Linked DNA regions of Callithrix jacchus. The protein of the gene in region 1 interacts with the protein of each later gene in a pairwise test. Links are inferred from orthologs where the notes say so. Each region holds a gene or a part of one and is shown on either strand. Other genes may lie near its edges.

What was found. The genes of interacting proteins can lie anywhere in the genome.
Region 2: the proteins of FIP1L1 (region 1) and PRMT2 interact in a two-hybrid assay, tested with the Homo sapiens proteins (2 studies listed by BioGRID and IntAct). The link is inferred for Callithrix jacchus from reciprocal best matches to the Homo sapiens genes FIP1L1 and PRMT2.
Region 3: the proteins of FIP1L1 (region 1) and CPSF4 interact in binary tests that used the Homo sapiens proteins (3 or more experiments, as listed by UniProt). The two-hybrid records come from large-scale screens. The link is inferred for Callithrix jacchus from reciprocal best matches to the Homo sapiens genes FIP1L1 and CPSF4.

What each region holds. Positions count from the first base shown.
Region 1 is NC_133504.1:143,243,994-143,247,621, forward strand, and holds the end of FIP1L1 (pre-mRNA 3'-end-processing factor FIP1), read right to left. Parts: intron 1,764-3,628; coding exon 1,626-1,763; exon of another isoform or gene 1,140-1,625; coding exon 992-1,139; coding exon of another isoform or gene 913-991; 3' UTR 501-912; downstream 1-500.
Region 2 is NC_133522.1:52,206,586-52,210,661, reverse strand, and holds the start of PRMT2 (protein arginine N-methyltransferase 2), read right to left. Parts: upstream 2,801-4,076; 5' UTR 2,633-2,800; intron 2,560-2,632; exon of another isoform or gene 2,051-2,559; intron 1,675-2,050; exon of another isoform or gene 1,585-1,674; intron 887-1,584; exon of another isoform or gene 783-886; intron 429-782; 5' UTR 370-428; coding exon 331-369; intron 1-330. UniProt on the Homo sapiens protein: Arginine methyltransferase that methylates the guanidino nitrogens of arginyl residues in proteins such as STAT3, FBL, histone H4. Acts as a coactivator (with NCOA2) of the androgen receptor (AR)-mediated transactivation.
Region 3 is NC_133503.1:14,141,108-14,145,180, forward strand, and holds the start of CPSF4 (cleavage and polyadenylation specificity factor subunit 4), read right to left. Parts: upstream 2,801-4,073; 5' UTR 2,636-2,800; coding exon of another isoform or gene 2,533-2,635; 5' UTR 2,285-2,532; coding exon 2,146-2,284; intron 114-2,145; coding exon 63-113; intron 1-62. UniProt on the Homo sapiens protein: Component of the cleavage and polyadenylation specificity factor (CPSF) complex that play a key role in pre-mRNA 3'-end formation, recognizing the AAUAAA signal sequence and interacting with poly(A) polymerase and other factors to bring about cleavage and poly(A) addition.

The DNA.
Region 1 (3,628 bases):
TTAGTATGTGATACTAATTAAGGTTACCTATAGTACCATTTAAAAGATCCTAGTAATTTATTCTTTCAAATATCATGTTGTTACCATCACTGACAAATATCTCCTAGGGTTATCCCTAAAAATGCTCAGAGAATTAGAAACTTGTTTTCTTAGTTTTAATACGAAATGGCTAAAGCTCTTATTTTTTTCCACAATAGTTAGTAACTGCATAAAAACTTGTGCTCCTCTACCAATGGGCTTTGGAAAACGCATCACAAAGGCCAAACCAGCTTGACCCTGGCTTTTATAGATGGTCATGAGGCGATTCAAATAATTTGTGTGTGTCACAATAAAGAGTGTTTGTACATGTGCCTCCTAGAAACTACGCTAAGGGCAATTTATTTCATAGAGGCCACCCAAATGCCTTATAGGTTTTATTAATCTGGATATGAAAGTGTACCCCATTTAGCTTCACCAGGAACCCAAATTTAGAACATTGAAAAGCTGTCATCAAAAAGTTGTGATATCGAAAATGTGTAAGTAAGTAAAATTCTCTTAAGATACTAAGCAAGAGTGTCACAGCAGTAATGATAAAGACTAGTTTTAATCTCAAGCCTTAGAGGGACCCTTTGTTGCCTCTTGTACAGCCTCTTACAAGACTGGTATTTGGTTAACAACAACAAAAACTGGTTAAGGTGGAACCTTGACCTTTTATCAGATATTGTATAGGTACAAAGCTAACACAGGCTCTTTGGATTCCCTGTTAAGTGACTCATTCACATTCCTTTCTTGGATATAAAGTCATTGCTGTCTTTTTATTTTTTAAATATTACAAGACAAAGATTTTTAACTTAACATGAAAAATTCACTCTTTTATTTTGGAAAAAAAGGTTAACTTTTCATACTAACAGAACAAGATTTAACGTAAATTTCTTAAACATTATCCAGAAAAATAACAAGATTTATAGTATCTACTTCTGGTACGAATAGACACAAAAGGCCAAAACCACGCCTATTCTGCAGGTGTAGCTTCGGTGCTCTCCTGTTCAGGGGCAGGCTCACTGCCAGCTTCTTTTCCTTCTTTGCTTCTTTTAGATTTTTTGTGTTTGTGTCTCCTGTGACTATCTCCTTCTTCACTTTCATGGCGACGTCTACTATTACTGAAAAAAAACAAAACGTGTTCTGTTTAAATGCACAATCGGTGACAAAACCACTCTAAGGAAATTCTGAAAACAACACTGAGTTTAAAATAATGCATTTTCTCATAAATGCAGTGTGGGGAATAATCAGTTTTTATGTGACTTTTATGTAGTGATTATATTATAGGGTCATCTTCACTGATATCTCAGATTCCCAGTGTCTATACAGCTTATTCTAAATGCATATTATAATTTACAGTAACAGAAACAAGCACTACTGGGAATACTGTATAGGGTTGATTTCTGGCAAACAATAGTTATTTTAATGCTTTTAAAAAAATGTGCAACAAAGCCCTGAATTTTTCTTTAATGAAACCAAGCACTGCTTTGATTCATAACTTATTAAAGATTGGTTCATAGGCCAAAATTTCCCCTCTTCCAATGTGATAATGTAGTAAGTCAAAATCTCTCACATACTACTGGTTCACTATTTATTAAAGAGCAAACCTTCGAGAAGACTTATGTCTGGTTTCCTCTTTCTCCCGGTGTCGTCTTTCTCTATGTCGTTCTTCTTTCTCTCGACTTGCTCTGTGACGCTCATAACCTCTTTCTGCATACTCCCTGTATCTGTAGCGTTCTTCATCACTGAAACAGAAATAGAAATGTTTTCTTGACAACTGGACCATTAATTCTGAATGGATTCAAACTGTAAAAGAAAATATGATCTGAAGTCCAAACCAAAAATCCCTACATTAGCATCTTTTACAACATTGGTGAGGAATAAATATTTGTTGAATTGAGAGGAAAACAATGCTTGTTCTCAAAATAGCACTAGAGCTAAGAATATAAATATATAATAATTACCCATGTTAAATGGCCAATTTCATTCTGTGCTTTCATTGCTGTTAAAAAGATTTAACAATGCTTTTGTTTTTTCGTTTCTTGAAAATGAGATCTGCAACTGATTTAAATTATCAGCTTTTAAAATTTTTGCTCCTTTTAGATTATCTGTATATCTCAGATTTCTAACCAACATTCTTAGAGTCTTGGACACACATAAAACATTATAAAAATATACAACTCCCAATGACTACAAAGCAGAAAGCAAACGAAGTTTTTAAACTTTAGGTTTATCATTAAAAAATATTCAAATAGAGAAGAGACATCAAAGCAACTTCTACAGTATCCATACAAAATGCAGACTGGACGTACCTGCATTCTGACACCCTAATTACGTGTGTACGTGTGTGCGCGCGCATGTGCATGCACCACATGGCTAATAACTTCAACTGCGTAAGCTGCATCTCCATTTTCTGATTTTAGATTGAATTACACAGACTGGTAAAACTGAGACTAATGGCTAGTGTTAGAGGGTGGTCTTTCCTTTCCCTAGACCGGTTTTCCTTTCATGTCACTTAACTGACATTCTCTTTCCATCTTTTTCCTTATCCTTCAAGTCTCTTATTTCTTCTCTTCTCTTTGTCTAGCATAGAAATCAACACCTTGTACAACCTAACAGTAAATTCACTTAGAATAAAATCTTTCAGAAGAGTATGCTGAAGAGCTTTGATTTCTAGAAATGTTTAATATGAATTATTAAACTAGTAATTTGTATGAAACATCAAGATGGTAAGGAATCTCAGGGTTTAACATAGGTGACAATTATAAGCCATGTTTTAAAAGACATGTCAGCCTGTGTTTTAGCAAAAGTAATGATTCAGTAATGCTATGCTTAATGCCCAATGGTACTGCTAACCAAGTTATTATATGTGGTATATTAAAATTTTAGAATCTTATTTAAAAAACAGAATGTATTAATATATCCATTTGCACATATGTGTATATGTATTTCCACTATTTTTCCTCACCATAAATATTAACTTTGTACTTGGAGTGTGGAAGCATGTTGCCTGAAAGGTAATAGCCATGCCAGTCAGTAGAGAGCAGCAGAAAAGAGTATAAGCAGAGTACACACAGAATCACATCCTGATCTCGTCACTTACTGAGTGACCCAGGCTATTATTTATCCTCTCTAAACCTCAGTTTTCTCATCTGTAAAATTGCCAACAGTCTTTTTAAAGGTTTCTGTAGAACTGACATTTATAAAGTGCTTGGTATGAGAGCAGACACTCAATAAATGGTAGTCTTTGGTGAATTTAGTGCTTAATTTTTTCAGAAGCAGAACTTTTTATTACCATGTCTTGAAGTAGAATAAACTAGCTTCATAGGAAATATAGTTAACTCCTCTCCAAAAGTGAGGCTTTTCAATGACTCCAACTAGATTTACATAGAAATAATTAAAGTCAATTATCTCATAATGCATCATTTATAACCCTCTCTTTTTCCACTTACCCTAAAACCAACCTCTGTTGGCTTTGGAGCCTTTAGATTCTGAAAGCAGCCCTGTGATGGGAACCTTATAACAGATGGTAGAAGATTGAGTCCTACACACAAAATATAAAGACCTTCCTCCTTCCATCCCCTTTTCTGATAAGTGGCTGAACCACAAA
Region 2 (4,076 bases), on another chromosome or scaffold:
CGATATATTGCTGGTATTACGCATGAAATTTTATTGAACAGCTCAGAAAATATGCTTGCTTTGCCAGTTCACGTACCAAAAATGGAAGCCTAAATGATGCTGCTGTTTTGGGGCTATTTCTTTGGAAGGGTTGATGGTGCCCAGTGCAGGATGTCATCCTACAGACACCGCGTCTCCTCTGCCTCACAATCTTCACATTTAAGCATTCTACTGTGTGGCCACCTTCCAAGGCACAAGTCAAGTTCCATCACATCTGTGAGGTGACACTTAACTCTCTGTAATGTTCCCATTCATTAAACACAGATTTTTAGGAACTGGAACCGAAATTACCTGTGATTCACTTCTGGGACAGTCACCTGATGTTGCCATAGTTCTCTTGGGCTCTGCCTCATAACTCCTGCTTTATTTCATTTTCTTCTCCATTTCTACTTTTAAAAAGAGAAGGAGACACAAAGTACTTGCCACGTTAATAATTAAGTTCACTTAACTTCTAAGGTCCATGACAAAGGTCCTCTACCAAATAGAAATAAAATGTGTATGTGCGAAGAATGGTATAGAAGTGAAAATTATAATCACAATTCTTCACAAAGACAAAAGCATTTAAAAATCATAAACTTCAAACAGTGCGTGTTTTCTTCACTAGTCCACAAGGTGTTAATCTTACTCATTCGCTGAAGCCTGTTAGTTTCTGTCAGATCAAATGTCGACTTAAAGCAATATAAATCAGTATTCATTCTTTTCTTAGAAATGTGACAGCTTTAATTCCAATTGAAAGTCCCTACCTGGGACTTTGGTGTTTCCACTAACAGGAACGAAGGTGTGCATCTTCCGGTCTTTTCCTTCTCAATTTTTATTTTTCCAGTAACAGTGTAACCCACACTCCGCTCTGGGACGAATGTGCTTTTGCAATCGCATGGCAATTCTTTGTTTAAAATGCAAGCTTCACTTCTAAATTCAGACTTGATGCTCATTTTTGTGATGTTCATAGTTACAAATACTGATTTACAGAATTATATTTTCATTGGAAAACCGGCGTCCAAATTGGGATGGGTTGGAGTGGGTGCTGGGGTGCGCGCAGGATCCGGGCCCACCTAAGATGCCCTTGGGAGGAACAGGCTCATGGGGAGTGGGAACAGGTGGCCAATGAAGGCGGGTGAGAACGGGGCAAGAAGCGGGCAAGAAGCGAGGGGGCCGCGCGTGGACGCAGGAGCACAACAGGGTCAGGCTGCGAGCGCGCCTAGAGCTTCAGGACAGAGATCGCCTAGCCCGTGGGGCGTAACCGCGAAGGGCGTGGCAGGGCTGGTGGTGAGGTGGGCGTGACCGCGGAGGGTGTGGCCGGAGCCGGCGCTGGGTGGTGGGCGTGGCCGGGAGGGGGCGCGGCGCACTGGGAAGGGTGTGGCGAGGGCCGAGCTCCCGTTTGGACGCCAGGACAGGAAGCACACAACGCGAGGGCGATCGGAGGTCCCAAAGGGGGGCGGAGGCCTAAGTCTGCCAGCGGCGTACAGGGAGTGCGAGGACGCCTCACCTGGCCTGTCTTGCCTTACGTGCAGTCCAGCCGCCTGAGCTGCCCATCAGGAAACCTACCTCAGCCGCGTTTCTCCGCTGAGTTGCGCGTTCACACTGCCAGTGCCGAGGGGCGGATGGTCCCTTCCAGGAGCCTGAGCCACCGCCCTCAACCCGCGCAAGCGCAGTGCGCGCAGGCCGTCAGCCGAGAAGGCCCAGCCCACAGCCAGGCGCCCCCGCGCAGGCGTCGTCCCCAGACGCCCCGCCCTCTTGGGAAGCCGGGCCACCGCCCTCGGCTCGCGCAGGCGCACTGCGCACAGACCATCTGTAGCTAGGACAGCGTCCTACGCAGGCGCACTGCATGTCTGCGCCTCTGCGGTCGTGCCAACCCGAGGCCGAGCGCCCCCATGTGTAGAGCTTGTCCCCAACCGCCCAGCCGCGTCTCTCGGCTTGGGGTCCGACCCGGGGTGCAGGGCGTGGGCAGGAGTCCGACCTAGGGCGGGGGGCGGAGCTGGGCACTTCACGGCCTGGGAAACAGAACCCCTACGAGCCACAAAATGGCTGAGGCTTCCGTGGAGGACGCGCCCGCGCACGTCTTCCTGTTTTCTCTCAAATAATTCAATTAACTTTCCCATCCGCGCTGCACAGTGTGCGCCCTCTGCCTTTCTTCTGGACAAATGGAAGCAGAATGATAACGTTTCTGTTTTGCTGAGAGGAAGTGTGGGGTTCATGAGAAATGGGCGGCACTGATGCCTGTAAAACAGACATAAATTCGAAGGGCCCCCTGCAGCCATCTGACCGGACTCCCTCCTTGACCAGGACACCCTGAAATTCAACCTGAGGGACTGTTCCGGCCTTGAGGAGAAGGAGGGGTTGGACAGCCTTACTATACTCCTCCGGCGTTAGCATCAAGGCAGACCGTAGGTCTGATAGAAAATGTAGAAGGAAAATAAATCTTGGGGCTCCCACATCATTAAGCCAAAGGGGGAAGTCAAGCTGAGAACCGCTTAGGGCAAACCTGCCTCCCATTCTATTCAGCGTCATCTTTCTGCTCAGGTAAGTGCATAGCTGATTACCTCCCGTGGAGAGGCCAACCCGAAACTCGGGAATGCAAACGTCCCTTACTTACCTGTGAACCGGAAGCCGCCTCCCGCTTCAAGTTATCCCTCTTTTGCTTCGAGTTGTCCCACCTTTCAGACCAAACCAATGTTCATCGTACGTATCTTGATTGATGTCTCATGTCTCCCTGAAACGTATAAAACCAGCTGTGCTCTGATCACCTTGGGCACATGTCTTCAGGACCTCTTGAGGCCGTTTCATGGACATGCATCCTTAACTTTGGCAAAATAAACTTCCTAAATGGACCGAGACCTGTATCAGATATTTGAGATTCACATTTTGGTAACCCCAAAGGGCTTCTGAGTAGAGGTATTCTACTATTCACATTTTGGTAACCCCAAAGGGCTTTGACAAATCTCCTATCGGTCTTTGGTACCAGTTTGAGCTATCCTTATGGCTCAAACAAATAGGAGAATTTGCTGAGGCATGGAAGCAATCCCTCCAGAGAATCCCTGATCTACTCAGATTTGGTCAAGCTCTAAAGTTTATTTTGCTGTACAGCTCCTTTTGTGTGGGGGGGAAGGGGGACAGGGGTCCTTGCATCCAACACAAGGAAGGCAAGTTTTTTCCTGCTTCCATGGCAAGAAAAGGCAGGTAACTCCTTTGTGGAGTTTGAGCTCACTTCCAACAGGAAAGATGAGGGTTTTTTCCCCCCTGCTCCTAGGATGGTAGACAGCAATCCACCAAACTGTATCTTCTAAGTGGAGCATTTAATTAGTTTACATTCAAGGCTAATATTAATATCTGAAGTTTTGTCCTTGCCATATTGTTGTTTTCTAGTTGTTTTATTATTGCTTTTTTATTTTTATTTTTCTGTAACTGTGGTTTGGTGGAATTCTATAGTGGTATCACTTGATTCCTTTCTCTTCCTCCTTTGTGTAATTACTTTACCTATGAGTTTTATACTTTCGCGTGTTTTCATAATGGTTAATGTAATCCTTTTGCTTCCAAGTTAGGACTCTTTTAAGCATTTCTTGTAGGACCAGTCAAGTAGTGATGGATTTCCTTAGCATTTCTTTATCTGGGAAAGACATTTGTTCCTCATTTATGAAAGTTAAGTTTGGTGGCTATAAAATTCTTAGCTGCCCTTTTTTTCTTTCAGGACTTTGTCTTATAATGATTCTGCTGAGAAGTCTGCTGTTAGTCGGGTAGGCTTTCCTTTATAGGTGACAAGACACTTTACTTTTCTATTTATGTTTTCAGAATTTTCTCTTTCACTTTGACTTTAAACAGTCTGATTGTCATCTCCCGTGGCAAAGTCCTTTATGCATTTTATTTCTTTGGAAAATATTGAGCCCCTTATATTTGGATATCTAAATTTCTTGCTAGACTTGGGAATTTTTCATTTATTATTTTATTAAATATTATAAACCTTTTCATCTCTCTTAGCCCTCAGGGATACCAAAAATTTATAAACTCAGTCACCTTAGGTTGCTCTAAATCTCTAAAAATTC
Region 3 (4,073 bases), on another chromosome or scaffold:
CTGGGGACAAGGAGGTGGGAGGGCACCTCAGGAGGCACATCAGGGAGCCTGGAGTCTCTTACCTTTGCCGCAGGCAGCTTTTAAAAAGAATTCACAGACAGCAGCCCCAGACTCTGTAGAATGGAGAGAAAAGGAGAAGAATGAAACAAAGAGGTACAATTGCTATTATGTCTGAAGACAGTGGGAGGGAGCCCTTCTGACCTCTGACCCACCAAGGGTTCAGGGTACAGGAAATAAAGTAGCAAAAACATGCAAAGCCCCACCAAGGATGAAGCTGCTTTTATTAGTCATGTCCTGAAATGAGACACATATATTGAGGGCAGTCATTACCCAGTGCTTTGAGAGCCTCCTGTATACCAAGATCCTTTCAAGGAGTTAAGAGTGGGTGGGGAAAGGAAGGCTGGAGTACAATACACAGAAATAACCTTTTTTTTTTGAGATGGGGTTTCACTCGTTGCCTGGGCTGGACTGCAATAGTGCAATCTTGCCTTACTGCAACCTCCACCTCCTGGGTTCAAACAATTCTCCTGTCTCAGCCTCCCAAGTAGCTGGGATTATAGGCACCCACCACCATGCCCAGCTAATTTTCTTATTTTTAGTAGAGATGGGGTTTCACCATGTTTTCCAGGCTGGTCTCAAACTCCTGATCTCAGGTGATCCGCTCACCTCGGCCTCCCAAAGTGCTGGGATTACAGGTGTGAGCTACCACGCCCTGCCCAGTGAAATTATCTTGTATAGAAGTGTCACCATGTAAATTTGTGGGGCAGGCAGTGAAAAAAAAATATATCTAGGCCAGCCGTGGGAAACATGGCAAAACAGTGTCTCTACTAAAAAATACACACAAAAAAAATCTGTCAGGCATGGTGGTGCATGCCTGTGGTCCCAGCTACTTAGCAGGCTGAGGTGGGAGGATTGCTGGAGCCTGGGAAGTCAAGGCTGCACTGAGCCGTGATTACGCCACCAAGGCACTTACACTTACAGAGGGAGCCCCTATCTCAAAAGCAAACAAACAAAAAGAAAAAAACCACATGAAAGGACAGACTTAGAAGTCACATGTGCATGACAAGGCATGGCTGCCTGAGGAGAGGGAGGCTGCTGGAGAGGGAGGCTGCTGGGAGAGGTGGGAGACCCCACTGGTAGTTGTAGGTGACAGCACAGAACACTGGAGAGCTTGCTGAGGAGGACCACCTCTCTGTAGGAGACCCCAGGTCTGCCATCCATTGAGTGGTGGTCATCAGCAAGTCCCTTCCCCCACCCCACCCGGGTCTTAGTTTCCCCATCTTTGGATTGAACTCAGTGACTTCCACCAGCCCCCAAACTTTAAGGTTATAGCATTAGATTTCAAATTTGTCCAGATAGAAAAGAAGGCCAGGAGTGGTGGCTCACGCCTGTAATCCCAGCACTTTGGGAGGCCGAGGTGGGCGGATCATGAGGTCAAGAAATAGAAACCATCCTGGCCAACATGGTGAATCCCCGTCTCTACTAAAAAAAATACAAAAATTAGCTGGGCATGGAGGCGCGTGCCTGTAGTCCAAGCTACTCGGGAGGCTGAGGCAGGAGAATTGCTTGAACCCGGGAGGCGGAGGTTGCAATGAGCCCAGATTGCGCCACTGCACTACAGCCTGGAGACAAAAGCGAGACTCTGTCTTGAAAAAAAAAGAAGACACAAAGAAAACGACTAGTTTCTTTTAAAGTACAAGATATTCCACTGAGTAGCGGGTGGGGAGCCAGGGGTCACCACACGAAGGGAAGGAGTGAAGGAAGTTCATTCAGGCCAAGGGTCCATACAGCTGCTGGGTGTGATAGATAACTCAGAGTTGAGGTCCAGAAAAAAGTGGAGACAGGCCCCAAATTAGGGATGAGCTCCCAAGAGAATGAGTCCTAGAGGGGATTCTGAGAGTCTAGCTGGGGTCTCCTAAAGAGAGGTGGTCCTTCCCTCAGCAGGCCTCCTCCAACGCCTCGTTTTAAAGAAAGCAAGAAGAGATACTCTTGCTTTCAACGTGGGGCGGGGGGGCGGGAAGTAGGGAGTGGGATACCCTAGTACTCTTCTGTATTTGGGAGAGTGCTGAGGGAGAGTTCCAATCCTGGATAACCCACCTTTATTCAAGAATTAAGCGAACAAATTCCTGCCCTCCTACAGATTACCTCTGAACCGCCGCCGCATGAGGCCAAATCCGACGCAGTGAACTCCTGAGTCCAAGTGAGGGGAAAAGGGGTCCCCAGACGGTGGAAATGGGGGCCTGGGATTCAGGAGTCCTAAAACCAAGGGTGAGGGTCCCGGCATCCAGAAGAGGTCTCAGGATAGAGTGGGAAGAGTCCCGAAACCACAGAGGAGGGACTAAAGGGGAGGGTCCCAGGACCCGGAGGAGGTGGGAGGAACTCTCAAGACCTAGTGGGAGGAGTCCCGGGACCAAAGGGGAGGGGTCCCAGGATCCAGAGGAGGCGGGGGTGTGGGGGGGTCGTCTCAAGACCGTGGCGAAGGAGTCCTGGGTCCGAGTAGCTCTCGCCCTCCCGCCTGAGCCCCGCGCTCACTGTCCATGCCCGGGAAGGGCAGCGGCTGCGCCCCGAGTTGCTGCTCCACCGCGATCTCCAAGTCGAACTTGATGTGGTCCACGCTGGCGATGATTTCCTGCATGGTGGCGACGGCGGCCCCACCGGCCCGGTTCCCCCTAGGTCTCCTGCCGTCTTCTCGCCTCTACCCGCTGCCGGCCCAGCTGCCGGCTCCGCCGCACACGCTCCTCTTTCGCCTCGCCTCCTCCGCCGTCTCCGCCGCCACCGCCGCCGCCACCCGAGGGATGCCGGGAGCGCCCGGAGCCCGCGCCGGCCCAAGCGCCTGTCCAGGACCGGCCAATCGAGCGCGGAGTCCCACCGCTCCGCTAGTCCCGGCTAGCCGCCAGCCGAACGCCGGCCTCTCTTCTCGGGAAACCCGAAACCACACGCCTGAGTCGGCGACGCGGACTGCGCCTGCGCACCCGGGGAGCAGGTGACCCGAGGGAGACTTGGGTGCGCTGCGGGGATCTGGCAGGGCGCGACGCGGGCGCACCGGCGGAGAGCACTGCTCCGGACACTTCACGTGAGTTCCTGTGTGATCCTCGCAGGAGCCCCGGGACCTGGGCAGACACACCAGAGGGGCAGGAAGTGTCCGAGCCAGGATTGGAGCCGGGAGCGTCAGAGGAGGGAAACTGAGGCTGCAAAGGTCCGTGTGGAGAGGGTTCGGCGTTGGCCTGAGGGTCCAGGTGGGCGTCTGAGGAAGAGCGGGTCTCCGAGGAAGGACGGCCTCATCGTGTCTCTAATTGAGGATTTTTTCTTTTCTCGCTGTGGCCCCGGCTGGAGTACAGTGTTGCGATTATAGCTCACTGCAGCTTCAACGTCTCAGGCTAGAGCGATCCTCCCATCTCAGCCTCCGGAGTAGCTGGGATTACAGACGCTGCACGACCACGCTTGGCTAATTTTTTTTTTTTTTTTTTTTTTTTTGAGACGGAGTTTCGCTCTTGTTGACCAGGCTGGTGTGAAATGATGCAATTTCGGCTCACCGCTACATCCGCCTCCCGAGTTTCAAGCGATTCTCCTGCCTCAGCCTCCCGATTAGCTGGGATTACAGGCACCTGCCACCACGCCTGACTAATTTTGTCGTTTTAGTAAAGACGGAGTTTCTCCGTGTTGGTCAGGCTGGTCTCAAACTCTCGACTTCAGGTGATCCACCCACTTTGGCCTCCCAAAGGGTTGAGATTAAGGCTTGAGCGACTGAGCCCGTCTGGCTAATTATTTGAATTTTATTTTTATTTTCATTTTAATTTTTTTGTGCTTCAAGCCTTTGTTGAGGAAGGGAAAGTCTGGGGTTTATGTACAAGAGGAAAGGGAGGTGGAACATGTACCAAAAAAGTGGGCCCCCATATTCCCTTCTAGGTGAATTTTATTTTTAATTTTTGTGGGAGGGGTTGGGGGTCTTGCTATGCTGCCCAGGCTGGTCTCGAATCCCTGGCCCCGAGCCCCAAGCAATCCTCCTGCCTGGGCCTCCCAAAGTACTGGGATTATAGGCATGAGCCATTGTATGGCCTAATTCAGGGATTTTT